3 linked regions of the Anolis sagrei genome follow. The protein of the gene in region 1 interacts with the protein of each later gene in a pairwise test. Links are inferred from orthologs where the notes say so. Each region holds a gene or a part of one and is shown on either strand. Other genes may lie near its edges. The genes, in order: CREB3L1, GPR25 and TSPO.

Region 1 (10,872 bases):
TCTCCCAAACCAATATATAGATGCAACCAATCTTGTATTTTGGTAGTTCTATTTTCTTTATGAAATGGAACTAGTTTTTATAAAGCAAACAAATTTTAATTTCTGCGGGAGTGTCTTTTTAAAAGAATTGTGACCTGCTATTGTTTTTATTATTGTTGCTGAAGTTTCCATTTAAAACAGAATTAAATTACGAACATATAAGAACAATTTAAAGCATACACTTTAAAATGACAAGCTGTAAATAAAACTACAGCATAAAAATATATTTGAAAAAATAGCAAAAAAGGACCATGATACATCACCTATATTTATCCTAGGGATGGGCAAGGGTGGAACTCCAGGGCCAATTTTCTGCTTCTGGGATTCTCAGAGACAATAGGGACTATTAAAACAACCCAAACCAAATAAACAAAAATCTGGGAACTGGCCCAGTGGTTCTCAACCTGGGGTCCCCAGATGTTTTTGGCCTCCAACTCCCAGACATCCTAACAGCTAATAAACTGGCTAGGATTTCTGGGAGTTGTAGGCCAAAAACATCTGGGGACCCCAGGTTGAGAACCACTGGGCTAGAAGTTCATTTCTGGTTTTGAAACAAAGGTATTTTTCTGTTAAATAGTCATTGGGAAACTTATCCTCTTGGATTTCTTTGGCCAGAAAAGAGGTGGTTGAGGGAACTTTATTGGGGTCAAGGGCCTCCAAAGCAGTCTATATGTGTCCCAGATCCATATTGACACCTTATACTCTCCAATAAGGTGGTATATCTGCACCCAACAGGTCAGACATTCCTTGACTTCTGACAGCAGAATCCCATTTTAAAGAATTATAATTATAAGCATATTTCACAAGCCGAAATTGTTCTCCTGAATGGTGAGAATTATCTGACTTCAGAGAGGTGCAATATGGGAATGTCTTCCCAGTTTCTTCTATTTCTGGTGTTCATACATGAGTGCAATTCTTTTGTATGGCCAAAAGTTGCTGTTTCGTGCCTTCAAATCATTTCCAAATTATGATGATCCTAAAGCAAACATATTTCTTTTGCCATAATTTGTTCAGTGGGGGTTGGCTTATCTTGAGAGTTTGTGCTTGTCTTAAGGTCACCTAGTGGATCTCTATGGCCAAGTGGAGATTCAGTGTGGTCTAGTGGTTTGAGCATTGGACTGCGACTCTGGAGAAAAAGGTTTGAATCCCTGCTCGGCCATGAAATCAACTTGACTAGCTTGGGCAAGTCCAAAGGCTTCAAAGGAAGGCAAGGATAAAACCTCTTCTGAATGAATCTTGCCAAGAAAAAAATTATGATAGGTTTGGTTTAGTGAAATAACATGAAGTGCACAACAACTCTCAAAGTAGTGAAACTACTAGACTATGCTGACTCTAGGCAAAATAGGATCACCCAGTGCCAAAACGTGAGTATAAACAGAACTGGATAAATCATAAATTTGTAGATTTCTTTAAAAAAATGAAAAAATTAAGAAGGAAAATACAAAAAGAGGAATTGGAATTCTGCATGCAATTTTGACTACGGTTGTATCTGCTTTTCAGAATTGTAGCAGTTTGACATGACACTAATGACTGTGGCTCAATGCTGTGGAATATTAGGGTTGGTAGTTTTGTGCAATGGCACCTCTAGTGTCACAACAAGCTACAAATCTCAGAAATCTATATGATGGAGTCATGGCAACTGAAGTGGTGTCAAACTGTTATAATTCTGCAGTGTGGACGTCTGCACGTATTGCAGGTGAGAACTGAAGAACTGAATTGAGGATTGGATATTCTTGGAGGAGGACATAGCCAGAAGTGGAAAACATTAATGGCAACATTGACACATTAGAGCTGAAAGTGTAAGGAGATCTAATTCACTGGTCTCACAACGTTAAGAATGTTAATTTGTGCATTTGTTCATTAATCTGTTTTAACATTGAACTTCAAAAACATTGCATGGAATTGCTGAAACACAGTGTTAACAAGTTAACATAATGAGAAACTGTAGAACTATGTCAATTATCATTGTATCAAAGTAACATTTTTGACAAAAAGTGTTGCTGAAAACTTGAGCAAATTAGGGGAATTAATTCATTTTTTTTGCCAATTATTTCTAAGCTCTGGGCATGGCTGGCTGACTGGAACAGTAGCAGACTGATCAAAATAATTTAGGAGAAGGAAGTGTTCATCCTGAACTATAATAAGATTGTAAATGTATTCATTTATTCTAATAAGGACATCACTTTGAATTAAAAATTACTAGAGTTTAGACTTCACTACACCTCAGCTATCTGCAGACTGATATCCGTACAAGACTTTCCTGCCCTGCAGTATGAAGAAGGGGAGAAGGATTTCACTGCTGGCAATGTCTTTTGGGAAACACAACTCTGTTTTCTAACACTATTCAAAGAGGTTTCTCTGGATTTCTAAGAGGAAAGAGGATAAACTTGGCTAGGATCTGTAATCTCACCCCTATGAAGCCCTGTAATCTTCCTGAAACTAAAAAATTGTGCTTTGGTCTGTAATTACAGTGTTATTAGACAGACTGCAAGGAACAGGCCCACCTGCATTGACAGAGTAACTGGTACTATCAAGTTAAGGTTACCATCTATGTGGATTTTCTTTCTTTTTTTTGCTTTACATTCAGTTTTAAAATTTAAGCTTTCTAATTCATCAGTTTCTGTCTCTTCTCCCAGTTTCTATTTTATGAAAATGATATGATGATCTTCAGAAATTAGATCTCATTAATTAAGTTATTTGACCTCTGGAGTCATGATTTTAGACAACGTGAGATCACAATATGTCATGAATTGTTCTGGTGGTGTGCCTGCAAGGCATTTCCAACCTATGGTGGATTTAAAAGGAAGCCTATTACATGGTTTTCTTGCCTGGATTTATTCAGAGTAGATTTGCCATTATCCTCCTCTGAGGCTAAAAGATTGGGATTTGCCCAAGATCACTCAGTGGACTTTATGACTAAGGGCTTATATACTAGCATCAAGAGTTGTAGTCCAATGCTTAAACCAATCCATCATATTGACATTGATATATTTTTGAGGTATGAGCAAAATGATAAGCAATCCTAGGTCTCAGAAAATGTTGTTAATTCAGAAGAAACTCTTCTTTTTATGTCAACAGTATGTCAGTTGTTTAATGTCCTAAAATTGCTTAGTAGTTTGAAGCATCTTTTACAGTTGCTGTAAATTACATAGGGGAGAAATGTTGTACATGTGTACCCTGAAGATTAGACAGTGATGAGGTCTAAAGGTTTGATCCAACTGCATGTTGGGAAGCTAAAACACTGCTTTCTTGTTTTAAAACTTAGGAAACCTCTGTGATAACTGTTACGCTGTACAATCAAAATCATATTTTAAATGTGATAGAACTTTTCAGGGATTGTGTGTGTGTGTGTGTGTGCGTGTCAAGAGTATGGCCTTTCTCAAACTACATGGAAAATCAACTGTTGGGGTGCAATGGGACACCCTGCAACTTTCTGAATGTTCAGATTTGGAGGTCATGGTTGGAAAGCTCTCACAATCCTAATATAATGTATGCCGAGATGAGGAATCCCACAAATTTCCTGGGACACAGGTAGATGGATTAGCACCAAATCTGGAAGGTTCAGGCCCCTTCTACACTGCCATATAATCCAGGGCAGGCATAGGCAAAGTTCGCCCTCCAGGTGTTTTGGGCTTCAACTCCTAAAATTCCTAACAGTCAATAATTGTGGGAATTAAAGTTCAAAACATCTGGAGGACCGAAGTTTGTCTGTGCCTCCAATAGGGATATGAGGATGTTTAAAATAAATGCTTGGAGTTATATAGACTAGTTGTGTCGTCTAGACATGGTCCAACTATCACAAAAGCTGCACACAATGCTAAGGACATTCAAGGTGTTTGTTGTCTAAGGAAGCAAAGGACAGGAGCACATCCCTTCACAATTCCTCAAAAATAGCCCGATAGACTGGTTCAAGATTGGGAAAGGAGTATGGCAGGGCTGTATACTCTCACTTGACTTATTCAACTTGTATTGAGAACACATCATGCGACATACTGGGCTTGATGAATCCAAGGCTGGAGTTAAAATTGCTGGAAGAAACATTAACAATCTTAGATATGCAGATGATAATACCTTTGATGGCTGAAAGCGAGGAGGAACTGAGGCGCCTTCTAACCAAGGTGAAAGAAGAAAGTGCAAAAACTGGGTTTCAGCTAAACATTAAAAAAAAAGATGATGGCAACCAGACGGATTGATAACTGGCAAATAGAGGGAGAAAACGTGGAGGAAGTGACAGACTTTGTATTTCTAGGTACAAAGATTACTGCAGACGCAGACTGCAGCCAGAAAATCAGGAAACACTTACTTCTTGGAAGGAGAGCAATGGCCAATCTCGATAAAATAGTGAAGAGTAGAGACATCACACTTGCAATGAAGATCTGCATAGTTAAAGCAATGGTATTCCCTGTAGTAACCTATGGATATGAGAGCTGGAGGATAAAGAAGGCTGAGCGAATGAAGATAGATGCTTTTGAACTGTGATGTTGGAGGAAAATTCTGAGATTGCCTTGGACTGCGAGAAGATCCAACCAGTCCATATTCCAGGAAATAATATGCGACTGCTCACTGGAGGGAAGGATATTAGAGGCAACAATGAAGTACTTTGGCCACATAATCAGAAGATAGGTAAGCTTGGAGAAGACAATGATGCTGGGGAAAATGGAAGGAAAAGGGAAGAGGGGCTGATCAAGGGCAAGATAGATGGATGATATCCTTGAAGTGACTTGCTTCACTTTGAAGGAGCTGGGGGTGGCCACGGCCGACAAGGAGCTCTGGTGTGGGCTGGTACATGAGCAGAGGCGGCCCTAGGTAATTTTCAATGGTAAGCAAACAGTATTTTGGCACGCCCCCCCCCCCCCCCAAACCAATCATTGATATATATTTTCTGTTTCACGTGGGAGTTCTGTGTGCCATATTTAGTTCAATTCCATCATTGGTGGAGTTCAGAATGCTCTTTGATTGTAGGTGAACTATACATCCCAGTAACTGCACTTGCCGCACTTGCTCCCTTGCCTGGTCCGCTTTGGGTCCGGAGGCGTGCCTGAAGACCCCGGCGTGTGCACCAAAAGTCACCTCTTCTCTTGACTTACTCCTCAGCCATTGGGACTGAGAGAGAAAGAGAGAGAGAGAGAGAGAGAGGTGGAGATGCCCACATTTCCTGAAAGTAGGCACAAAAACAAAGGAGGGAGCGGAGGTGGGAGATACCTCCAGCCGGAGGGGCTCTCTCTCTCTCTCTCTCGCTTGGTCCCAATGGCTGAAGAGAAAGTCAGGAGAAGAGGCGACTTTTGGTGCGCACGCTGGGGTCTTCAGACACGCCTCTGGACCTGAAGCGGACCAGACGCGGCTGCTCCGCCCCTTGGCCCACCCGCGGATTGGGGAGAGGAGGCGGGTGGAGCGCCGGGGGATCGGGAAAGGGAGCCGGTCATGGGGAAGGGATCGAACGCGGAGAACGATTGAGCGCCGGCTCTGCTCGCGCACCCAGTGGCCGGGTGGAGCAAGAACGAGAGGGGTTAGGCGAGGCTCAAGGGCCCGGCCCCTTTGGGAAGAGGATCGCCCGGCAGCGAGGCAAGAAAGCCGAGGCTCCCCCCGGACTGCTAGGGCTGTTGTGAGCTGAGGGGGCGCTCCTCAAGTGGCGGTCGAGGGGCATTTACAGAGGCGCCTCTGCGCCCCTGGCAAAAAAGAGTGTTCTGCGACCGCTTACTTCGCGTAATGGACGAGCCGCCCCTGTCCATGAGGTCACGAAGAGTCAGAAGCGACTGAACGAATAAACAACAAGGAACATCAAGGCAGGTAACCCCACATTATCTGAGTGTGGGCTCAGATAACTCAGTTCAAAGCAGATATTGTGGGATTTTCTGCCTTGATGTTCTGGGCCATAAGGCTGTGTGGAGGGGCCCAAACCTCCCCTCTCCACGGCAGGGCTAGTGGGTTGAGCCATGGGAGCTCAAGAGGTGTCAAACTGCTTTCATTGCACGCCTAGTTCGGCTTTGGCTCCACTCGGGGCTCCCATTGGCCGCGCGGGAGGATTGGGGGCGGGCCTTCGCGTTGCCTGATTGGCAGGGTGCCTGTCTCTCGAGGCCGCTGGAATTTTGCATATTCATGAGCGCCCAGGGCTGGTGGGCGTGGTTTCGAGAGCTGCCGCTGCTGCTGGCTGCTGAGACTCAGTGGCTGTGTGTGACGGTGACAGCAGGGCAGGGATCCCGGCGGAGAGGAAGGCGCCCCTCCCTCCTGCAGACCCTCCCTGCCTCCCTCCCTCTCTCCCTCTCTCCCACCGCATCTTCTTCCCAGCCTCATGGATTACCAGATCCCCCGAGAAGCGGGAGGCTTAGCTCCAGGGCATCCGCCGCGAGGGGCTTCCAGAGAGTGAGGAGGGAGAGGAGGAGGAGGAAGGACCCCTCCACATCCAGAGCATCCCCACCATGGACAGCCTCCTGGAGCCCTTCCCCTCGGAGCGCCTCTTCCCCGGGGGCGCCCCCAGTTTCCTGGACCTGGGCGACCTCAATGAGTCCGATTTCCTCAATAATGTGGTAAGAAAGGGGAGGAGATGTGTTCTGGGGAGGAAGAGGGGAAAGGGTTACATCTCCCTCCTAGAGTGACCCTTGGGTGCATCTCCACTGGGGAATGAATGCAGTTGAACTGCCAGGGCTCAAGGCTATGGAACAAGGGGAGTTGTAGTTTGGTGAGCTCTCTTTCAAGGCTATGGAACAGACATGGGCAAACTTGGCTCCTCCCGGTGTTTTGGACTCCAACTCCCACCACTGCTAACAGCCTCAGGCCCTTTCCTCTTCCCTCTTCTATGGAACAATTGGAGTTGTAGTTTGGTGAGTGCTCTCTCAAGGCTATGGAACAGGCATGGGCAAACTTGGGTCCTCCAGGTGTTTTGGACTCCAACTCCCACCATACCTAACAGCCTCAGGCCCTTTCTTTTCCCCCTCCTCTATGGAACAAGGGAAGTTGTAGTTTGGTGAACTCTCTTTCAAGGCTATGGAACAGGCATGGGCAAACTTGGGTCCTCCAGGTGTTTTGGACTCCAACCCCCACCATTCCTAACAGCCTCATGTTCTTTACTTTCCCCCCCTCAGCTGCTTAAGTAGCTGAGGGGGAAAGGGAAGGGGCCTGAGGCAGTTAGGAATGGTGGGAGTTGGAGTCCAAAACGTCTGAAGGGAGGGCCCAAGTGTGCCCATGTCTAATCTATCTACATGTGGAATGAGTGCCATTTGACCCTATTTTCACTGCCATGACACAATGCTAAGGAATCCTTGGAGTTGTAGTTTTGCGAGTTCTTTAGCTCCCTCTGCCAAAAAAAACCTCCCAGGATTTCATACCACTGAGCATTTCAATTGATGTCAAACTTCCACAGTGTACATGTACCTTTTGTTTGGAAAAGTGGCAACATTTGGCTTGTGTGGGGCTGTTTTGTAGCAGGGATGCTGTAAGTTTTTTGGGCTGTATGGCCATGTTCCAGAACCATTCAGAGGTTGACCTCACAACCTCTGAGGATGCCTGCCATAGATGCAGGTGAAACGTCAGGAGAGAATGCTTCTGGAACATGGCCATACAGCTCAGAAAAATTACAGCAACCCAGTGGTTTCGGCCATGAAAACCTTCGACAACACATTGTTTTGTGGCAGTTCGTTCCCTCAGGCAGGCATAATCGCTTGATGGTAGTCCTGGAGTGTTAATAAGAGGTCCCAACCCTTGCTTCAAAGCACCATCACCATTGCTGGACAGGTGAATGTGATGAGCCAGGTTTAGGATCCAAATGGATCTCCCTTCTGTTCTGAGTGCAAAATGTCACCTCCATGACAGTTTGAATCCATCCTCTTTTTTTCCAGATGGAACCTCTTAGGAGAGGTTCACGTTCAGAATTGTTTTTCAATCTTGCAAGGCAACAGTTGTGGTCACTTAATGGAGGGTTTTCCATGCTTTTCTAAAGTTGTACAGCTCTTAACATATAAAGAAGGCAAGTTTAAAAAGTGGGGGCCCTTCCACACAGCCATATTATCCAGAATATCAAGGCAGAAAATCCCACAATATCTGCTTTGAACTGGGGGCCCTTCCACACAGCCCTGTATCCCAAATATCAAGGCAGAAAATCCCACATTATCTGAGTATGGACTCAGATAACCCAGTTCAAAGCTGATATTGTGGGATTTTCTGCCTTGATATTATGGAATATAGGGCTGTGTGGAAGGGCTCCAGGTTATCTGAGTCCACACTGCCATATATTTTAGTTCAAAGCAGATAATGTGGGATTTTTTTCAGCTATGTAGAAGGGTCCTCTGTTAACTATCATATGAGATCCCTTTACTTAGGGTGCATCCACACTGTAGAATGAATACAGTTTGACATCACTTTAAGTGCCAAGGCTCTGTGCTATGGAAACATGGGAGTTGTAATTTTGCAAGGTCTTTTGACTTCTCTTCCAAAGAATGCTGGTGCCTCATCAAACTATAAACCCCAGGATTCCATAGCATCCAACCAAGGCAGTTAAACTGGTGTCAAACTGCATTCATTCTACTGTATAGATTTCGCCCCAGCCGATTTTAGTCCTGTATCCAGACAAGGCAGTTAAAGTGGTGTCAAACTGTGTTAATTCTGCTGTGTAGATGCTGCCCCAGCTGATTTTAGTGCTGCATCCAACCAATGCAGTTAAAATGGTGTCAAACCGCATTGATTCTACTGTGTAGATGCAGCCCAAGCTGCTTTCAGTGCTGCAGAGAAATTCCTGGTGGATTCTCTCCCTTTGTATATTTATATGCGTAGTGGCAATTTGATAGCCCATTGGTATTGTAAAGATAGTGACATATGTTAATAATTATTACCAATTAAGTACATTCAGATGATAAGGACATCCTGTAAAGACTTCGCATCCATATTAACATGTTTTAACTACTGTATTTACTCATGTCTACTGCACCATTGAATCTAATGCACACCTCACTTTTCAAAACTATGAAACCAAAAAAAACAAAACAAAAAACTGCTGAATGTGATGCGCAGCAGCAAAAACTGTGCTCTTTGTGTGTGTGTACATATATGTGTGTATGTGTTATATATATATATATATATATATATATATATGGACAAAAAAGATGCACATTAAAATTGGTGTGTACTTAGAATGCCTTCTTTAAAACAGAAGTGTCAGAACACCAAAGCTTTCAGCCATGGAAAAGAAAACCTTGGCGTGCATCTATGCTGTAAAATGAATCCACTTTAACTACCGATAGCTCAATGCTATGGAATCATAGGGGTTGTGGTTTTGTAAGGTCTTAAATTTTCTCTGCCAAAGAATCCAGATTCCTCACCAAACTACAAATCCCAGCATTGCATAGCATTGAGCCATGACCATTAAATTAGAGGTAATATTCCCCAAATAGGAGCTCCAGGTGCTCCTGAAGCAGCTTCCCCTTTTGCATTGGATCAGCACTAAGATGACCATATTACGTTAATCTAATGTGCACCCTAATTTTGATAGGGCCATTTGAGCAAACAAAGTGAACATTAGATTCAAGTAAATTGAATATTAAGTCTTGTGAAATGAACCTAGAGTCCTCCATTAGTGTCAGAAGGAGACGGGGATGAATCCTAGATGTTGGTGAAGGGAGAGATCCTCATCATTTGAAAGAATAATTAATCATACACATGAACATAGTCTACCTAAGTACAGAGTAGGACTGAAATCACTGTATCACAGATAGCAAATGTGCATAAACCCATTGGTGGGTTTATGCACAGACTTGTTATAGTTACAGTTAAGGGTCTCAAGTAATGAGGGGCCTCTACATTATAAAAAAGAACATGCATCAGTGTCCATTAGAGGAACATTCCTATTTTTAATAATGCCTTTGGAACTTTTCAACTTACTAAAGTTTAAAGCAGGCATGAGCAAACTTCAGTCCTCCAGGTGTTTTGGACTCCAACTCCCATAATTCCTAACAGCCTCAGACCCATTCCTCCCCCTCCCCTTCAGCCACTTAAGCGGCTGAGGAGGAAAAGGAAGCGGCCTGAGGCTGTTAAGAATCATGGGAGTTGAAGTTCAAAACGCCTGTAGGGCCAAAGTTTGCCCATCCCTGTTTTAAAGGAAGGCTGGGGAACTGTAGCCCTTCAGCTTCCACCTGCCTTAGCATTGTAGGATTCATGCAGGGTTGCAGTCCAAAAACTGTCATAATTGGTTAACCTGGTTAAGAATTTTAGCATAGCCCTGTGTGCCTCACACTCCAGATGTTGGATTGCAAATGCTATCCGCCAGTGTAATGTAGTGTAGTGGTGCCCTGGTGGCACACTGAGTTAAAGCGTTGGGCTGCTGAACTTGCTAACTGAAAGGTCGCAGGTTTGAATCTGGGGAGCGGGGTGAGCTCCTGCTGTTAGCCCCAGCTTCTGCCAACCTAGCAGTTCGAAAACATTCAAATGTGAGTGGATCAATAGGTACTGCTCCAGTGGGAAGGTAATGGCAGTCATGCCAGCCACATGACCATGAAGGTGTCTACGGACAACGCCGGCTCTTCAGCTGAGAAATGGAGATGAGCAAAAAATCCCAGAGTTGGACCTAACTGGACTTAATGTCAAGGGAAAACCTTTACCTTTGCCTTTAGTGTAGGCTGTTGTGAAAGATGATGGGAAGAACTGCAGAACAACAACTGAGTGGATTATGCTTAAATGGGCTGAATAAATTGGGAGTGTATTTCAAAACACTGATCTGATTCAAAAGCCTCGTGAGAAGATAAAATAAAAATACTGGCTGAAAGAGTGACTACAGTTTATCCCTCAAGCAAACAGCAGCTTTGAGGATGATTTTCAACTTTCAGGTGAAGTGGCATGGGAGGACATGAT
Region 2 (9,294 bases), on another chromosome or scaffold:
TTCCTTCCTTCCCCCTTTTTCTTTCTCTTCTGCTGTCTCTCTTTTCTTTCCTTCCATCTTTCCTTTTCTTTCCTTTTCTTCTTCCTCTAACTTTCCTTCCTTCCCCCTTTTTCTTTACCTCCCTTTCTCTTTCTTCCTTCTTTCCTTCCTTCCTGTCTTTCCTAGATTTTGACAGGACGGGAAGGGGCGGGGTGGGGTTTGGAGGTGGCGTGAAGTAAAAGGAGGTAAGATTGGGGCAGGGGAGTGATGGAGCGTGGGGTTGCGTGTGTGTGTGCGGCAGCGGGGGGAGTGATGGAGCGTGGGGTTGCGTGTGTGTGTGCGGCGGCGGGGGGAGTGGGGTTGCGTGTGTGTGTGTGGCGGCGGGGGGAGTGGGGTTGCGTGTGTGTATGCGGCGGCGGGGGGAGTGATGGAGCGTGGGGTTGCGTGTGTGTGTGCGGCAGGGGGTGTGTGTGTGCGGGAAGCGGCGCGGCGGGGCTTGGAGTGGGCATGGTTTCCGCAGAGGGAACGTTGGCCGGAAGGCCATGTGCGCGCGCCAGGGAACTTGCGGCTGGGCGCCAATGCGCATGCTCAGTTGTTTTGCCGTTTTGTGAGTGTGTTGTTGTGTTGTTTTTCATTTTGAGTAGATATGTTTGTACCTTGTGGGTTGTGTTATGGGCATGGGAATTTTGGTTAAGTTTCGTTGGGGTTTTTTTGAGTTTTGTTCTTTTGCCGTTTTGTGAGTGTGTTGCTGTGTTGTTTTTCATTTTGAGTAGATATGTTTGTACCTTGTGGGCTGTGTTATGGGCACGGGGATTTTAGTTAAGTTTCGTTGGGGGATTTTTGAGTTTTGTTGTTTTGCCGTTTTGTGAGTGTGTTGTTGTGTTGTTTTTCATTTTGAGTAGATATGTTTGTACCTTGTGGGTTGTGTTATGGGCACGGGGATTTTGGTTAAGTTTCGTTGGGGGATTTTTGAGTTTTGTTGTTTTGCCGTTTTGTGTGTGTTGTTGTGTTGTTTTTCATTTTGAGTAGATATGTTTGTACCTTGTGGGTTGTGTTATGGGCACAGGGATTTTGGTTAAGTTTCGTTGGGGTTTTTTTGAGTTTTGTTGTTTTGCCGTTTTGTGAGTGTGTTGTTGTGTTGTTTTTCATTTTGAGTAGATATGTTTGTACCTTGTGGGATGTGTTATGGGCATGGGAATTTTGGTTAAGTTTCGTTGGGGGGTTTTTGAGTTTTGTTTCCTCGTTGGATGCCCCTAACAAATTTATATATATAGATGCAACTTTTAAAAATAAATAAATAAGAAATAATTTATCAACACTTTCTAAACACTTCTCATTTTCACTGAATCATGAGTCTGTATCTTGGTAATCAGTTTGGCTGCAGAGAATATACTAAATGCATACAGATATTTGTTTTTCTTTTTCCATATCTTGATATTCCAGTATAATTGGACCTGATGAAGAGTTCCAGAAAACTCCAAAACTTGATACACTTGTTACATTTTACTGATTCAAAGAAAGATGTCGCACGATTCTGATTTTCATTTTATTCATTATTTAATCATACAACTGTCCTGACTGCCTACCTGTGCAAGAATAAGAATGCACTTTGCCACTCATCTAAGAAGACAGCAGAAAGAGAGTTTTCAACAGTTGCAAAGGCTTTTAAAACCCTGGAACAGAACCTTTGTCTGTGAACATTTCTTTGTCTATGGCAGTTTTGTCCTTTTTGTGCACTTGTTGCTTCAGAGCTTGCACTTTTATGCTGATCATTTATCATTAATTCAATACTGTCCAATTCATACTGCACAGATGAGTCATTTCAATTTCTAAAGTATATAAAATGTTTGGCTAATTGGCTTGTAAATAATTAATTGACTGTTACCCTGTTTCAATGTGGTTTTGAAATGAAAAGGAGAGCAGCATCAACATTTAAAGAGTGCGGAAAGGAGAAGAACAAAAGTAATACTGGAAAGTTACATTTATATAAAAAAGATGCCTGATATGTTTAGGCAAAAGGTTTTTGAAGGAGCACAAAAATATAGTTTTCTTTAGATATTGCCTCAAGAAAACTATATTTTTGCTCTTCTAATTAATTATTAATCAAAGAACACTAGGCGTTTTACTATTTTATAAATTTTATGATGTCATTTTTATGTTTTACCTTTGGTAAAGTGTAATACATTTAAAATTTTGGTTTTAATAACTTGCTGAAGTAATTTCTTACTTATACATAAGAAGAAGAAGAAGAAGAAGAAGAAGAAGAAGAAGAAGAAGAAGAAGAAGAAGAAGAAGAAGAAGTGGTGACAAGAAGCAACCGGAAAAGCTTTCGTGACATGAGGATTTAAAGACAGAACTGCAAAGACTCTGGCACAAGCCAGTAAAGGTGGTCCCAGTAGTAATCGGCACACTGGATGCAGTGCCTAAAGACCTTGGTGTGCACTTAAAAACAATCGACGCTGACAAAATTACCATCTGTTAGCTGCAAAAGGTCATCTGCAGGCATTATTCGGAGATAAATCACACAGTCCTAAACACTTGGGAAGTGTCTGACGTGTGATCAAATACAAAAGCCAGCATAGTGTTCTTGTTTGCTGTGTACTAATCTTGTTATGTATCAAATAATAAAACTTTATTTATACCCCACCACTATCTCCCGTAAGGACTCAGAGTTGCTTACAAAATAGCACACAATGGTGCCATACATACATAAAATACAATACATCAACATATAGAATCAATAACACATTTACATAAAAACATACATATAAAATTAACAAAAACAATCTCTATTAAATAGTATTGGTAAAATGTGGCTATAGTCATTGGTTAGAAAGATCCATAGCAATTGATTTAGCAGCCCAGCTGTATACCCATCAAAATGTAGATATAAGGTACTAAAGTAATTGGCAATCGGTTTGGCTACCAGCTTAAATTTTATTAAAGGCCTGCTGAAAAACCCAAGTTTTTAACTCTTTCCAAAAGTGCTGTAGTGTGGGGTCTTGCCTACGTTCCTTGGGGAAGGAGTTCTGAAGCTGGGGGCCACCACCCCCAGCTTTGGGCCCTCTCCCTCATCCCCGCTAACTGCACTTGATATGGAGGTGGGACCGAGAGGACGGCTTCCCTGGAAGATCTTAGAGCCAACACCGGTTCATAGGGGGAGATGCGATCACAAAGATAGGCTAGACCCGAACTGTCAGGGGTCCTCAAACTAAGGCTCGGGGCCCGGATGCGGCCCTCCAAGGTTATTTACCCGGCCCTCACTCAGGGTCAACCTAAGTCTGAAACAACTTGAAAGCACACAACAACAATTCTATCTCATCAGCCAAAAGCAGGCCCACACTTCCCATTGAAATACTAATAAATTGGTATTTGTTCTTCATTTTAATTATTGTATTGTTTTTAAGTGGTTTTTGCACTACAAATAAGGTATGTGCAGTGTGCATAGGAATTCATTCATGTTTTTTTCCAATTATAATCCCGCCCTCCAACAGTTTGAGGGACTGTGGCCTAGCCTTCTGTTTAAAAAGTTTAAAAAGTCTGAGGACCCCTGGTGTAGAGCATTGTAGCTAATAACCTGCACATTGAATTGGGACCAGAAACTTATTGGCAGCCAGTGGAGCTGCTTCAGTAGGGGCAAGGTGTCTCCCTATAGATAGCCCCAGTTAGTATCCTGGCTGCCGATCTTTGCACCAACTGCAATTTCCAAGCCATCTTCAGAGGCAGCCCCACGTAGAGTGCATTGCAGTAATCCATTCTAGATATAACTAAGGCATGGATCACAATGGCCATAATGCAGCATTTAGCAGAAATGTATAAAATTTAGGAGGAAAGGATCTTGTTTAAGAATTGATCCCCCCCCCCCCCCGGTGATTGTAGAGCTTAAAATACAGGGTTAGTCAAAATGAATAGGCCAATAAGAAAATTAATTTTAGACGAATGTATGTTTATTGTAACCAAACTACAGCTACGTATCGACAGATAAATTATCAAAGTTTTGTCTCACCTTCAGAGATGTTTGATATGGGCGCCCCGTGTGACACGGCAGACGTCCAAGCGATAGTCCAGTTAATTCCACATCCGTTGCAGCACATCCGACGTAATGGCATCGAATGCAGCACATATGCGCTGTTTTAAGTCGTCCAAGGTCAGCGGTAATGGAGGTCGGAACACAGTGTCTTTCACATACCCCCAGAGAGAAAAGTCGCATGGTGTGAGGTCGGGGGACCTGGGGGGCCACAGGAGGAATGGAAGATCAGTCACTCCAGCACGGCCAATCCAACGTCTGGGAAGGTGTTCGTTGAGGTACTCGCGTATACTGTTGTGCCAATGCGGAGGGGCACCGTCCTGTTGGAATACGAAATTGGGCACTTTCTCTTCTAACTGTGGCATCAACCATTCAGACAACATGTCAGCGTACACTATGCCTGTTACGGTTTTCTCCGCAAAAAAGAATGGGCCAAACACGTGACGGTTGGTTATTGCACAGAAAACGTTTACCTTCGGCGAATCCCTTACATGTTCCAATACGGCATGAGGATTTTCAGATCCCCAAAAGCGGAGATTATGCCTATTGACCTTCCCGCACAGGTGAAACGTTGCCTCGTCACTGAAGACCAGTCTGTTGGCAAAGCCTTCCTCCTCTAGTCTTCGCTACATTGATTCGCAAAAATCGTGTCGTTTCGAATAGTCACCTTTTTTCAAAGCCTGCACCATTTGCAATTTATATGGCTTGAACTGCAAACGTTTGCGTAACACGCGCCACACAGTTTTTTGCGGAACGTTCAATTCCATGGAAACACGATTTGTCGACTTCTGGGGACTTCGTTGAAAGGATGCATAAATGGATTCCACTGTGTCTTCGGAGACACACGGTCGTCCTGTGGTTTTACCCTTGCATAAGCAGCCCGTCTCCTCAAATTGCTTTACCCACCTGGAATGTCGATGAGGTGGTTCCTTGCCATACTTGGCTCGAAATTCTCGCTGGACCGTAATTACTGACATTGTTTTAGCAAATGTCATCACACAAAACGCCTTCTCTTTGCCTGATTCCGCCATTTTGAAAACAGCGACTCCTAGCGATGCCTAGCGGCATTAACGTACATGTGTGTTGCTCAAAAAAAACTTTGATAGTTTATCTGTCGCTACGTAGCTGTGGTTTGGTTACAGTAAACATACATTCGGGTACAATTAATTTTCTTATTGGCCTATTCATTTTGACTAACCCTGTACATGTACCAGATTCAAGATCCAAGGGCTGAATCTGGTCCTCTAGATGCTGGACTAAAACTCTTGTATTCCTCATCATTAGTCATCATGACTATAGCTGATGGAAAGCAGCAATTTGTTCTGTTTAGTCAGGATAATAGGATTTGAATTTAGATACAAGACTTCTGGATAGTATATCTTACTTTAAATTGTCTTGTAACCATTCTTCTGAGCCACAAGTACTGTTGAGTTGCAATTCTTACAATCCCTAGACCATGACAGATAATCAAAAATGATGGGAATTGTCATTCAATAACATCTGGGGACCCACAATGGATGAAAAGTAAAGAGCACCAACCACTATGTAAAGAATTATTTTTGGCCCTCTGTATCAACAGATTTTCCATCCATGGATTCAACAGCTCTTTGAAAGCAAACATAAGGCTGATGTGGCGCTTGGTAGAATATGAGTTTGACACCCCTGGCTTAAAGGTTGTCAGGGTTCAAATGAATATCATTCTGCAAGTAAGCCATTCCACTTGAGAAGCAACTCTTGATAAGCACTGTGTGAAAAGTCCAACATTTTCTTTGATGCATGCTTTAAGGACAGTGATATTTATTTTCTGATTTCATAAAATCTGCAGTGAAACAAGTAATCATCACTGGATTGCAAATATCCTGCTGCGACCATCATAGAAGGTTCCACCATGATCATAAATGTACACACTCTTCAAACATAAGCATCCTGATACCCAGTTTCTGCAATCTTAAAGGATTTCCAAAATTGGGTTGATGTCAAGCTTTCAAGTTGTTATTGCTTGACTGAAACAAACCTCTACCTCTTCATGAAAAGCAAGAGGAAGTTACCACTAGAAAAACAAGAAAACCACTCTTTAGACAACACCCACCTGTTATAGATTGAATGTGCCTTGGTGTCCTCTTGCAACAATATTGCTGAAGACTCTTCAGTGAATCCTTGTTAAGAGATGGAAGCTGCTCAATTGTCAACTACATCAGCAATGACAGAAAACTGGAGTAGCAACTTTGAAGAATACCCAACTGAATATGATGGATTGGATTCTATGAATATCTGCCACCTGGAACTACCATTTGCTTACATCTTTATCCCCATTCTCTATTTCCTGAGTTTTTTCATCGGTTTCTTTGGGAACCTATTTGTGATCCTACTGATGGCACGAAAACAAGGTAGCAAAAGGCTTGTGGATACCTTCGTTCTCAATCTGGCCATAGCTGACCTGGTCTTTGTATTTACTTTGCCTTTCTGGGGTTTGTCAGCAGCTCTTGATGGCTGGCTCTTTAGTGAAGGACTATGCAAGCTGAGCAGCTATACCATCTCTGTCAACCGCTGCTCAAGTATCTTGTTCCTGACAGGCATGAGCGTGGAACGCTTCCTTGTGATGACCAAGCGTTGGGATGCCAGGTCCATTGGAACCAGGAAGAATGCCATCACGAGCTGTGGCTGCATCTGGGCAATCTCACTACTTCTAGGAATACCATCACTGGTCTACAGAAATCTGGCCTTCAAGGGAGATAGCAAATATTCATGCCAGGGTGACCCCCCTGCCACCTTCAGTGTGGTCATGCTCAGCTTAACCTTCCTGTTGCCGTTGGGAGTCATCTTGTTCTGCTATTGCTCTATCTTCTCCAAACTTCAGAGCCATGCCAGACTAGGCAAAAGAAGAAACAATGCCCTTAAAATCATCTTTACCATCATTGGGGCATTTGTCTGTTCTTGGCTGCCTTTCAACACCTTCAAGATAATCTTCACTATGGCTCAGAACATTGATCTCTCTTGCCAGGCCCTGAGAACTCTCTTCGGGGGACTCACCATCACCGCTTGCCTGGCTTTCGTAAACAGCTGTATCAACCCTGTCATCTATGTCTTTATGGATCAGCACTTTCGACAGCAGGTCCTGATGTATTTCCCTGGATTTTGGAAAGCAAAGGGAAATATGCAAGCCTCCAGCATGTCCTTTTCATCTACAGAATCAAGTGTTTTGTTTGGCAGCAGGAAAAAGCTCCCACCCGCCACGTCTGTTCAGATATGAAACACAGTAAAAGATGTGTAGGTTTGCAAAAGCCTCCAAGATTTGGCACGTTTTTGGCTTGGACTGCTGAGAATAACCACAGGGTTTCTGAGTTATGTTGATTATGAAAAAGAGGGTAAGGAGATGGTCTGTAAATGTGGGTGGAAATTGATATATTTTGACTATCAGTTGTAAATTACAATAGGAAAAGAATTTATTTTTATCATTATTTCTAATGTGTATGAATGAAATCAACTCCCCACTTATATAATTTGACCCCATTTCTATTGCATTATAAGAATAGAAATTTAACATATACCCATCATTATAAAGCTATTTCTGCTTGCTAAAATTGAGATATGCTGGGACTGAATAGGAGAGACATGTACAAGTGTATCTGCAGCTGAAATGTGAATTATTTTGCTTTTACTTTCAATTACATATGTTCTCACCACCACATTTTTGAATGTTTGTATCGTTTTTACAAAATTGATGAATAGATCTTGATTGCTCATTGAAAATATTTAGCATGAAAGAAAAATAAATTACCTTATAATTCTAGACCAGATTTTTAAAACGCATTAAGACAAGCATGCTTAATTAAAGATGAATATAGAACTAAAATTGTTCTTCTGTTGTGACATTATTCAAAAATTCTTGACAATTTCCTTTGTATCTAGGTTTCTCGCAATATGCTTTCTTAATTTTAATTAAAAATGTAAATCTAACACTGTGTGTGTGTAAATCTTTTTAAACGTGGTAATAGCAAATAACTCAATATGTGGGACCTACTCTTCCAGATATTTCACATTTTCAAATTTAAATTGGCAATTGACTCATTAATGACCCTATATCAGGCATGGGCAAACTTGAGCCCTCCAGGTGTTTTGGACTTCAACTCCCACAATTCCTTGCCTCAGGCCCCTTCGTTTTCACCCTCAGCCACTTAAGGGCCTGAGGCCAGGAATTGTGGGAGTTGAAGTCCAAAACACTTAGAGGGCTGAAGTTTGCCCATGTCAGCCTTATATCCATCAATTAACTCACAACATAGCAGTCTGGTTGTCTCTGTTCTTCTAGAAAGGCATAGGGAAATTTTTGACTTGAGCAAGATATACTTCATTTATTTTAGAATCTTGACACCCATCAATGAGAGACAGATGCAAAATTAGCTCTTTGGGAGGGTGGACATGGAATACCCCTAAAAGTGCCTCTGAGCCCATATACCCAAGTAATTTGCCAAAGTCTGTAAGATGCAGCCATAACAGTTAAAATGGAATCAAATTACACACACACACTCCAAGTTAGAGTCTACCACATTGTTATTTAAAATAATGGAGCAGTGGATGATGCAGTGGGTTAAACCCTTATGCTGGCAGGACTGCTGAATGAAAGGTTAGTGGTTCGAATCCAGGGAGCGGGGTGAGCTCCCATCTGTCAGCTCCAGCTTCTCATGCAGGGACATGAGAGAAGCCTCCAACAGGATGGTAAAACATCTGGGCATCCCCCTGGGCAATGTCCTTGCAGGCGGCCAATTTTCTCACATCAAAAGCGACTTGCAGTTTCTCAAGTCACTCCTGACATCGGGAAATTTTTTTAAAAAGAATGATCAATGCTATTTTGTGACAGAAAAAATGAAATCATTGCTTTTTAAAAACTGATTACATTGTCTGTTTAAAAAACCCCAAGCTATGTGTGAAAAAGAAATGCTATGTCTACTACCCGTGCTGACTAATTATGAAATGCAATCTGTTAAAAGCGGGACTTTGATTTCCAGTCTCACCTAGGTTTTGGTGAACCTTAATAAATCTTTCCAAGCGATGATTGCCGTAAGTCAGAGTCAATTCAAAGGCATATAACAACATTTTAAAAATCCAGTGCTTAGTACCTTAGCAGTTTGCTAAGAAGTTCAGCAACAGTATCATAAACAAAAGATCAAAAACATCACTACGTCTATCTGGTAAACATTTTAATTTCCCTGGAGACAAAGCTACAGACCTCAGAGTCGCCTGTTTCACAGAAGACAAATAGAATATGATGAGCATAATAGAAACTCATATTA
Region 3 (11,068 bases), on another chromosome or scaffold:
TTATAAGTAGCTTGTGGATCAGCCGTCCACGACCGGTTTCGGCCTACCTCAGGCCTTCCTCTGGTGGAAAAGTTATACACTTGAGAATTTGTTCTCCTCAGGGGCTACAGATTTTTTTGGGTCAGTGGTATAAAATTATACACTTGAGAGTTTGTTCTCCTCAGGAAATACAGATTTTTTAGCTTAGTGGTATATGATACTCTGTTCCATGTTGAGTTCTGGCTCTATGTTGATACTCGCAGCCAGAACTCAACATAGAGCAGAGTATCTTATACCACTGAGCTAAAAAATCTGTATCTCCGAGGAGAACAAACTTTTCCACCAGAGGAAGGCCTTTTCCACCAGAGTAGGCCGAAACCAGTCGTGGACGGCTGATCCACAAGCTACTTATAAGAAGATACGACTGTACTAAAAAATTGCACCATATTGTTTGTTGTCGCTGTGAGGTTAACAGTGCAGCATGTTTATATACTGTTGTTGAATTATATTATTGTTTATGTTATACAAGTGGCATTTTTGTTGTATGCATTTCATTCAGGAACCCATTTATATTATAGTATATTGTTACAGAGCCCCTTCTACATTGCCATATAAAATTCTGATATGATGTATAGTACGCCTGAGGCCCCTTCCACACAGCTGTATAAAATCCACATTTAACTGGGTTATATGGCAGTGTGGACTCAGATAATGGAGTTCAAAGCTGATCTTTGGGCGATAGGCTGTGTGGAAGGGCTGCGCAGGGCCTGCCTGTCCAGTGTTCTCCCATGGCCGGGCCTTCCTGCTGGCTCACCGAGGGCTCCAGGTGGTGCAGCTTCTCCGCGGCGGCCAGGGAGGCGACGAAGACGGCGGGCTGGCTGTGGACGGTGCGGTCCAGCTGGGCCTTAGGCCCGTGGAGGCAGAGGCCCAGGAGGTCGTAGCCCAGCACCTCCTCGGCCGCGCGGAAGAGCTCCCTCGCGCTGGGGTAGCGCAGCAGGCCTTGGCCCATCCCCACGAACTGGCTGCCTTGGCCTGGGAAGAGCAGCACCGAGGTGTCCTGCGGGGAGCGACGCGGGCCCCGCAGCCCTTCGCCTGCGCTCTCCTCCTCTTCCTCCCCCTCCTCCTTCTCCACCAGGGCGCCCTCCAGAAGGGCCTGCACCCTCCCGTCCTCCTTCGGGCTCCTGGCCTGGCTCAGCCACCGTCTCGCCGCCACGAACCTGCCCCGCCACGCCATGGCCACAAGGACTAGGCCGCCGCACGAGGAACACACCGCCGGTTGCTACGGCAACCGCCCGCGTGCCAAGGAATTGCGCGCGGCTCGAGTCCGGTTGCGAAAGGCTTCCCCCTGCCTGGGAACTATAGCGCGAGGAAAGGGTTCCGCCGCATGAAAAGACTCTCTGGAATAGAATACCTTCCTCACAGCTGAATAAAACCCCACATTATCTGCTTTGAACTGGACTATATGGCAGTCTGGACTCAGGTAACCCAGTTCAAAGCAGATATTGTGGGATTTTCTGCTGTGTGGGAGGGCCCTAAGGCTACCTAAGCATTTTTTTTTAATTTTAATTATTACATTTGGCCCAGCTATTGGTTTTTAAACGTGTCGTGTTATTGTTAATGTTTATTGCTTATATTTGCATATGAATTTATTTATTGTTTTGTATTATTGTTGTTATTGTTTATTGTTGTATTGTGGGCTTGGCCTCATGTAAGCGTAAGCCGCAGCGAGTCTCTTGGGGAGATGGTAAAAGGTAAAGGTAAAGGTAGTCCCCTGACATTAAGTCCAGTCATGTCTGACTCTGGGGTGTGGTGCTCATTTCCATTTCTAAGCTGAAGAGCCAGCATTTTCCGTAGACACTTCCAAGGTCATGTGGCCGGCATGACTGCATGGAGCGCCGTTACCTTCCCGCCGGAGCGGTACCTATTGATCTACTCACATTTGCATGTTTTCGAACTGCTAGGTTGGCAGAAGCTAGGGCTGACAGCGGAAGCTCACACCGCTCCCCGGAATTGAACCTGCAACCTTTCAATCAACAAGCTCAGCAGCTCAGTGCTTTAACCCACTGCACCACCGGGGAAGATGGTAGCGGGGTACAAATAACTTTTTTTTAAATTATTATTATTATTATTACCTTCCCTCCTCCAACAGAACCCAACTTTACCCCTACAGACCTCAAGTGGGGCAATTCAGGCCTTTGGTCTGTACCTTTTTGGCAGATTTGATTTGGAGGGGCTAGAACTGTTCTTCGCTGAGGGCCCTTCTGTGGGGAAGCATTGTGAGGAAGCGTTATTTTACTGCCACCAATGTATAAACCATTTGTGAGGGTGCCCCCACTTAATGAGGGTTTATTTAGTTTGATAGCGTAGCTTATGACTAATAAATGTTGGGTTGTTGTAGGTTTTTTCGGGCTGTATGGCCATGGTCTAGAGGCATTTTCTCCTGACGTTTCACCTGCATCTATGGCAAGCATCCTCAGAGGTAGTGAGGTCTTTTGAAACTAGGAAAAGGGGTTTATATATCTGTGGAATGACCAGGGTGAGACAAAGGACTCTTGTCTGCTGGAGCTAGGTGTGAATGTTTCAACTGACTACCTTGATTAGCATACAATGGGCTGACTGTGCCTGGAGCAAACTTTTGTTGAGAGGTAATTAGATGTACCTGCCTACTTACTCTCTGTTGTTGTGCTGTTGCAATTTTAGAGTTTTTTAAATACTGGTAGCCAGATTTTGTTCATTTTCATGGTTTCCTCCATGCTTGTGGATTTCAATGGCTTCTCAGTGTAGTCTGACATGGTGGTTGTGAGAGTGGTCCAGCATTTCTGTGTTCTCAGATAATATGTTTTGTCCAGGTTAGTTCATCAGGTGCTCTGCTATGGTTGACTTCTCTGGTTGAAGTAGTCTGCAGTGCCTTTCATGTTCCTTGATTCGTGTTTGGGCAATGCTGCGTTTGGTGGTCCCTATGTAGACTTGTCCACAGCTGCATGGTACACGGTAGACTCCTGCAGAAGTGAGAGGATCCCTCTTGTCCTTTGCTGAACTTAGCAAAGTTTGCTCCAGGGACAGTCAGCCCATTGTATGCTAATCAAGGTGGTCAGTTGAAACATTCACACCTAGCTCCAGCAGACAAGAGTCCTTTGTCTCACCTTGGTCTTTCCACAGATATATAAACCCCTTTTCCTAGTTCCAACAGACATCACTACCTCTGAGGATGCTTGCCATAGATAAATCACAAATTCATCACCATCCGCCAGTGTGGTCATTCGTTATTGACTCAATCATCATTCTGCAAATGCTATATTCCAAAGCCAGGTTTTTACCAGCTTTCTGAAAGTCAGGAGAGAAGAGGCAGATCTAATCTCCAACGGGAGAGAGTTCCAGAGCCGAGGGGCAAGGCTTTAGAAAAAATAGTAACAAGTTTATTAGAATGTAGAAGTATGATGGATTCAATGTTACTTAACTCTGAGAGGCACAAAACTTCATAGGTTGCATTTATAACGTTTCTTGAATAACTCTGGGAAGGGCTCTTCCTTCCTCTAAACAGGTTTCAAACAGTTTCTTTAAAAAGATGTTTCTTTCTTTTACAGATTGGTTCAGGCACACGCTTATCTTTGCTTTATGATGGTTCTTTTAATATAAATAAGTCACCTGACTTATCTCACTATACGGGCTCAAAGCCAAACCCTGATTCTTAATATTAATATTAAAGAATCAGTCATCCCCTATAGTTCTCTAACTATAGGATTCCTGCTGGTTTTCCACACACCACAGGATCAACCACCTCTGCAGTTCACCGACCACAGACTGACAGTTAAAAACGGCTGCTCTGCCAAGTGGCAACTCAACTCAAAGCAAACTAAGCTATAAATCCCAGTAACTACAACTCCCAAATGTCAAGGTCTATTTCCCCCAAGTTTCATCTGTGTTCATATTTGCGCGCATGGAATATTCCTGCCCAGTTTGGTCCAGATCTATCATTGTTTGAGTCCAAAGAGCTCTCTAGATGTAGATGAACTACAACTCCCATATTCAAGATCAATGCCCACCAAACCCTTCTAGTGTTTTCTGTTGGTCATGGGAGTTCTGTGTGCCATGTTTGGTTCAATTACATCATTGGTGGAATTCAGAATGCTCTTTGATTGTAGGTGAAATATAAATCCCAGCAACTATTTATTTCTTTATTTATTTCATTTACTTATACCCCGCCCTTCTCACCCCGGGGGGGGGGGGACTCAGGGCGGCTTACAGTGGGGGCACAATTAGATGCCCAAAACAATTCACAAGCAATAAAATACAAACAATTCAACAATTAATTAAAAACATCAGTACATAATAAAATAATAAAAACAGTCTTATGCTCAGGGTTCATAGTCCATATATCCATTCCATTCCATTTGTCCTTGTCTATCATCAGATCCTTCAGTTAGTTGTCAGAATGACCAAAGGCTTGATCCCAGATCCAGGTCTTCAGTTTTTTCCTAAATGCCAAAAGGGAAGATGACGATCTAATCTCCCCAGGGAGTGAGTTCCACAGGTGGGGGGCCACCACTGAGAAGGCCCTGCTCCTTGTCCCCGCCAGCTTCACTTGTGACAGTGGCGGGGTCGAGAGCAGGGCCTCCCCAGAAGATCTTAAGCTTCGAGGTGGGACGTAGAGGGAGATTCGTTCAGACAAATACACTGGGCCGGAACCGTATAGGGTTTTGTAGGTCAAAACCAGCACTTTGAATTGTGCTCGGAATTGGATCGGCAGCCAGTGGAGCTGACGCAACAGGGGGGTTGTATGCTCCCTGTACGTCGCTCCGGTGAGCAATCTGGCTGCTTCTCGCTGGACTAGTTGTAGTTTCCGAGCAGTCTTCAAAGGCAACCCCACGTAGAGTGCGTTGCAGTAATCCAGCCGGGATGTGACAAGAGCGTGGACCACCGTGGCCAGATATGGCTTCTCAAGGTACAACTCCCAAATGACAAAATCAATTTTTTGAGTGATGGTCATTCCTTGGGTTAATACAGGGGTCCTCAAACTATGTCCCGGGGTCCGAATACGGCCCTCCAAGGTAATTTACCCAGCCCTCGTTCAGGGTCAACCTAAGTCTGAAATGACTTGAAAGCACGCAACAACAATCCTATCTCATCAGCCAAAAGCAGGCCCACACTTCCCATTGAAATACTAATAACTTTATATTTGTTAAAATTGTTCTTCATTTTAATTATTGTATTGTTTTTAGGAGCTTTTTGCACCACAAATAAGATATGTGCAGTGTGCATAGGAATTCATTCAGTTTTTTTCAAATTATAATATGGCCCTCCAACAGTTTGAGGGACTGTGACCTGGCCCTCTGTTTAAAAAGTTTGAGGACCCCTGGGTTGTTAGGTGTCTTGTGGCCAAATTTGGCGGCAATTCATCCAGTGGTTTTTGAGTTATGTTAATCCCACAAATGAACATTATATTTTTATTTATATAGAAGATAGTAGACTGTGACCCCTTAAATCAGTGTTTCTCAACCTTCCTAATGCCACAACCCCTTAATACAGTTCCTTATGTTATGGTGACCCCACAAAAATGAAATCATTTTTGTTGCTACTTCATAATTTTGCTACTGTTATCAATTGTAAAGTAAATAGTGTATGGTGTATTTTCATTGACTGGACCAAATTTGACACAAATATATGATACGCCCGAGTGGGGTTGGGGGGCGGATTGATTTTGCCATTTGGGAGTTGTAGTTGCTGGGATTTATAGTTCACCTACAATCAAAGAGCATTTTGAACTCCGCCAACAATGGAATTGAACCTAACTTGGCACACAGAATTCCCATGACCAATAGAAAAAACTGGAAGGGTTTGGTGAGCATTGACCTTGAGTTTTGGAGTTGAAGGTCACCTACTTCCAGAGAGCACTGTGTCTCAAACAATGATGGATCAGGACCAAACTTGGCACAAATCCTCAATATGCCCAAATGTGAATAGTGGTGGAGTTTGGGAGGAAATAAACCTTGACATTTGGGAGTTGTAGTTGCTGGGATTTATAGTTCACCTACAATCAAAGAGCATTCTGAACCCCACTAACAATAGAACTGGGCCAAACTTCCCACATAGAAACCCCACGATCAACAGAAAATACTGTGTTTTCTGATGGTCTTTGGCGACCCCTCTGACACCCCGTTGCGACCCCTCAAGGGGTCCCGACCCCCAGGTTGAGAAACACTGCCTTAAATGAAATATATCATCAGACAAATGATTATGGAACATTGATAGAAAGTATTGCACTGTATGCAACAAACACTTGCAAATGTATGCCTACTTAAATTTTAAAAAATGGGGGGGAAAATCCGGTTTCTGCCTCCTGCAGAATTCTGGGGTTTGTAGTTTAGTGAGGCTGTTAATGGCTCCTCCCTAAACTACAACCCCTAGAATTCTGCAGAGGCAGAAAACGGATTTTAATTGAATTTTTAGTGTGATGAAGTGGAAACCATTTAAAGAGACCCATTTGAAATGCCATGCCCTTCCCTTTCAAGGTCTACAGCTATAGTTTGGGAAAGTTACTTGGGCTGGGAGGGGGGAGATGCTGGGAGTGGCAGCCCAGGCTTTTTTATAGGGGTGTGTTGAGCTTGAGAAAACACAGCTGCATAAAATCCACATTGAACTGGATTATATGGCAGCGTGGACTCCAGATAACCTAGTTCCAAGCAGATATTGTGGGTTATCTGCCTTCCCTTCTTCCGTGGGAGGCTGGGAGGCGGGGCCTGGGTTCCTCGCCAGGCTTTAGCTCCCGCCTGGCCTCGCCTTCCCTTCCTTCCTTCCTTCCTTCTGCCGAAGAAGAAGAAGAAGCAGCAGGTAAGAAACGGCTTCAAAGTACCCCTAATATCCAGCACCTGTTTAATAGCCTCCAAGGAAGGTGCTTCCACCAAACACCGAGGCAGAGAGTTCCACTGCTGAACGGCTCTCACATTCAGGAAGTTCTTCCTCATGTTCAGGTGGAATCTCCTTTCCTGTCATTTGAACCCATAGCTCCATTGAGTCCTTGGGCCCTTCCACACAGCTATACAACCCAGAATATCTCATATCTGCTTTGAACTGGGTTATCTGAATCCACACAATCATATAATCCAGTTCAAAGGGATTTTTTGCCTTGATATTCTGGGATATAGGGCCCTTCCATACAGCCCAGAATATCAAGGCAGAAAATCTCATAATATCTGCTTTGAACTGGATTATCTGAGTCCACACTGCTGTATAATCCAGTTCAAAGCAGAAAATGTGGGATTTTCTGTCTTGATATTCAAGGATATAGGGCCCATCCACACAGAATATCCCACAATATTTGCTTTGAACTGGGTTATCTGAGTCCACACTGCTGTATAATCCAGTTCAAAGCAGAAAATGCGGGATTTTCTGCCTTGATATTCAGGGATATAGGGCCCTTCCATACAGCCCAGAATATCAAGGCAGAAAATCCCACAATATCTGCTTTGAACTGGGTTATCTGAGTCCACACTGCTGTATAATCCAGTTCAAAGCAGAAAATATCCAGAGATATAGGGCCCTTCCATACAGCCCAGAAAATCAAGGCAAAAAATCCCACAATAGCTGCTTTGAACTGTGTTATCCGAGTCCACACTGCTGTGTAATCCAGTTCAAAGCAGAAAATGTGGGATTTTCTGCCTTGATATTCAGGGATATAGGGCCCTTCCATACAGCCCAGAATATCAAGGCACAAATCCCACAATATCTGTTTTGAACTGGGTTATCTGAGTCCACACTGCTGTATAATCCAGTTCAAAGCAGAAAATAGCCAGGGATGTAGGTCCCTTCCATACAGCCCAGAAAATCAAGGCAGAAAATCCCACAATATCTGCTTTGAACTGGGTTATCTGAGTCCACACTGCTGTATAATCCAGTTCAAAGCAGAAAATATCCAGAGATATAGGGCCCTTCCATACAGCCCAGAAAATCAAGGCAAAAAATCCCACAATAGCTGCTTTGAACTGTGTTATCCGAGTCCACACTGCTGTGTAATCCAGTTCAAAGCAGAAAATGTGGGATTTTCTGCCTTGATATTCAGGGATATAGGGCCCTTCCATACAGCCCAGAATATCAAGGCACAAATCCCACAATATCTGCTTTGAACTGGGTTATCTGAGTCCACACTGCTGTATAATCCAGTTCAAAACAGAAAATGTGGGATTTTCTGCCTTGATATTCAGGGATATAGGGCCATTCCACACAGCCCAGAATATCAAGGCAGAAAATTCCATAATATCTGCTTTGAAATGGGTTATCTGAGTCCACACTGCTGTATAATCCAGTTCAAAGCAGAAAATGCGGGATTTTCTGCCTTGATATTCAGGGATATAGGGCCCTTCTATACAGCCCAGAATCTCAAGGCAGAAAATCTCACAATATCTGCTTTGAACTGAGTTATCTGAGTCCACACTGCTGTATAATCCAGTTCAAAGCAGAAAATATGGGATTTTCTGTCTTGATATTCAAGGATTAGGGCCCTTCCACACAGACCTATATCTTAGAACATCAAGGCAGGAAAGCCCACATTATCTGAGCATTATTGTGGGATTTTCTGGGATATAGGATTGTGTGGAAAGGCCCGGAGTCTCATGAGTAGCAGAGAACAAGCCTGCTTCCTCTTCCTTGGGATAGTTTTCTTATACTTCGATTTAAGTTATATTCCTAGTGTGTTTTCATCTTTGTACCATGCATTTTCATACGTGTATCTTTCACGACACACTTCAATCTATGTCTTTTCTTTGTCTGTATTTTATGGTGATGTGTTTTAATGGTAGCTGGAGACACTTCTGTATAATGGCAGTTTCTGAATGAGGATTAACTGCATTGAGCTGGATTATTTGGCAGTGTGGACTCATATACTCCAGTTCAATCTGCATTCTGAAACGGCCTTTAGATCCAGCCTGTGTTGTGCCTCGCCTCAAGCCACAAGAAAAGTTGGCTAACAAATCAATCAATTAATAATTAATTAATTAATTAATAATCTTTGTTTCTGGGTTATAAATGTCATTTCCTAATTCGTTCTATCTAAAAACAATTTAAAAGTGTATTAAACTACAAAAACTTTGTTATGTGCGGGACATCCTGCAGCGCATTTTGTTCTAGTTTTTCAATGAATATCTCATAGTCTCAACTGTTTTGACATTGTTTGTGGCAGCCACAAAAACAACCTTTTTGGACTATGACTTTCAAATTAAGTCCTGCAGAATTACACAGGAAATGACGCTTTCAAACCAGGAATGGAAACTTTATCAAAATTTCGTTACATAGTGTTATTATTCTCTTCCAAATAGTTCTGGGGCCTTGCCATATGATAACTCCCAGGATTCCCAATATAACATTGCAATGGTTTATATAGTATTTGAATTGTGTATTTCGCATTGTATTTAATAATCTGGTTTTTATGTGTGTATTTGTTTGTCCTGTATGTAAAAGGCCTATGGTCTAAGCATTATCTATATATATAAATCTGTTAGGTTGGTTCAACCGGACAGCAAAACTCCACAACCCCCCAACGAAACTTAACCAAAATTCCCATGCCCATAACACAACCCACAAGGTACAAACATATCTACTCAAAATGAAAAACAACACAACAACACACTAACAAAACGGCAAAACAACAAAACTCAAAAAAAACCCCAACGAAACTTAACCAAAATTCCCATGCCCATAACACAACCCACAAGGTACAAAGATATCTACTCAAAATGAAAAACAACACAACAACACACTCACAAAACGGCAAAACAACTGAGCATGTGCATTGGTGCCCAGCCGCAAGTTCCCTGGCGCATGCACACAGCCTTCCGGCCAACGTTCCCTCTGCAGAAGCCATGCCCACTCCAAGCCCCACCGCGCCGCTTCCCGCACACACACACCCCCTGCCGCATGCACACACACAACCCCACGCTCCATCACTCCCCCCGCCGCCGCACACACACACGCATCCCCACGCTCCATCACTCCCCCCGCCGCCGCACACACACATGCAACCCCACTCCCCCCGCCACCGCGCACACACACACAATCCCACGCTCCATCACTCCCCCTGCCGCCGCACACACACACGCAACCCCACGCTCCATCACTCCCCCCGCCGCCACACACACACGCAACCCCACGCTCCATCACTCCCCCTGCCGCCGCACACACACACACAACCCCACGCTCCATCACTCCCCCTGCCACCGCACACACACACACAACCCCACGCTCCATCACTCCCTCCGCCGCGACACACACGCAACCTCACTCCCCCCGCCGCTGCACACACACATGCAACCCCACGCTCCATCACTCCCCCTGCCGCCGCACACACACACGCAACCCCACGCTCCATCATTCCCCCACCGCCGCACACACACACACGCAACCCCACTCCCCCCACCGCCGCACACACACACACAACCCCAGGCTCCATCATTCCCTCCGCCGCCGCACACACACACGCAACCCCACGCTCCATCACTCCCCTGCCGCTGCACACACACACACGCAACCCCACGCTCCATCACTCCCTCCGCCGCCACACACACGCAACCCCACTCCCCCCGCCGCTGCACACACACACGCAACCCCATGCTCCATCACTCCCCCCCCGCCACCGCACACACACACGCAACCCCACGCTCCATCACTCCCTCGCCGCTGCACACACACATGCAACCCCACGCTCCATCACTCCCCCCGCCGTCGCACACACACATGCAACCCCACTCCCCCCGCCGCCGCACACACACACGCAACCCCAGGCTCCATCATTCCCCCCGCCGCTGCACACACATAATAGTCCAGATATCTACCTCAACTTTGATAAGTTTTACTATAGGCCACAGCAACGCGTGGCAGGGCACAGCTAGTATACTATATTATATTATTTTAATAATTCAATTGGTTCATCTCGTCAAATACAAGATCTGCCTAAGGGGATGAACCAATGGTTAAGCTATTTGGTGAGAAATTGGGACGGGGGGGGGGGGGGGTGGTGTTTTGGCAAATGGTAGATTTGTTTGAAGCCCAAAGGAGTGGATCGACAACAAATCAGATAGGATAGAATAGGATAGACGCACAT

Evidence for each region.
Region 2: the proteins of CREB3L1 (region 1) and GPR25 interact in binary tests that used the Homo sapiens proteins (3 or more experiments, as listed by UniProt). The two-hybrid records come from large-scale screens. The link is inferred for Anolis sagrei from reciprocal best matches to the Homo sapiens genes CREB3L1 and GPR25.
Region 3: the proteins of CREB3L1 (region 1) and TSPO interact in binary tests that used the Homo sapiens proteins (3 or more experiments, as listed by UniProt). The two-hybrid records come from large-scale screens. The link is inferred for Anolis sagrei from reciprocal best matches to the Homo sapiens genes CREB3L1 and TSPO.

The regions. Positions count from the first base shown.
Region 1 is NC_090021.1:278,270,071-278,280,942, forward strand, and holds the start of CREB3L1 (cyclic AMP-responsive element-binding protein 3-like protein 1), read left to right. Parts: upstream 1-6,166; 5' UTR 6,167-6,455; coding exon 6,456-6,563; intron 6,564-10,872.
Region 2 is NC_090024.1:185,439,657-185,448,950, forward strand, and holds GPR25 (probable G-protein coupled receptor 25), read left to right. Parts: upstream 1-6,173; coding exon 6,174-7,256; 3' UTR 7,257-7,306; downstream 7,307-9,294. UniProt on the Homo sapiens protein: Orphan receptor.
Region 3 is NC_090025.1:97,644,819-97,655,886, forward strand, and holds the start of TSPO (translocator protein), read left to right. Parts: upstream 1-6,698; 5' UTR 6,699-6,807; intron 6,808-11,068. Other genes in the region: MCAT (malonyl-CoA-acyl carrier protein transacylase, mitochondrial), read right to left, coding at 794-1,213. UniProt on the Homo sapiens protein: Can bind protoporphyrin IX and may play a role in the transport of porphyrins and heme. Promotes the transport of cholesterol across mitochondrial membranes and may play a role in lipid metabolism, but its precise physiological role is controversial.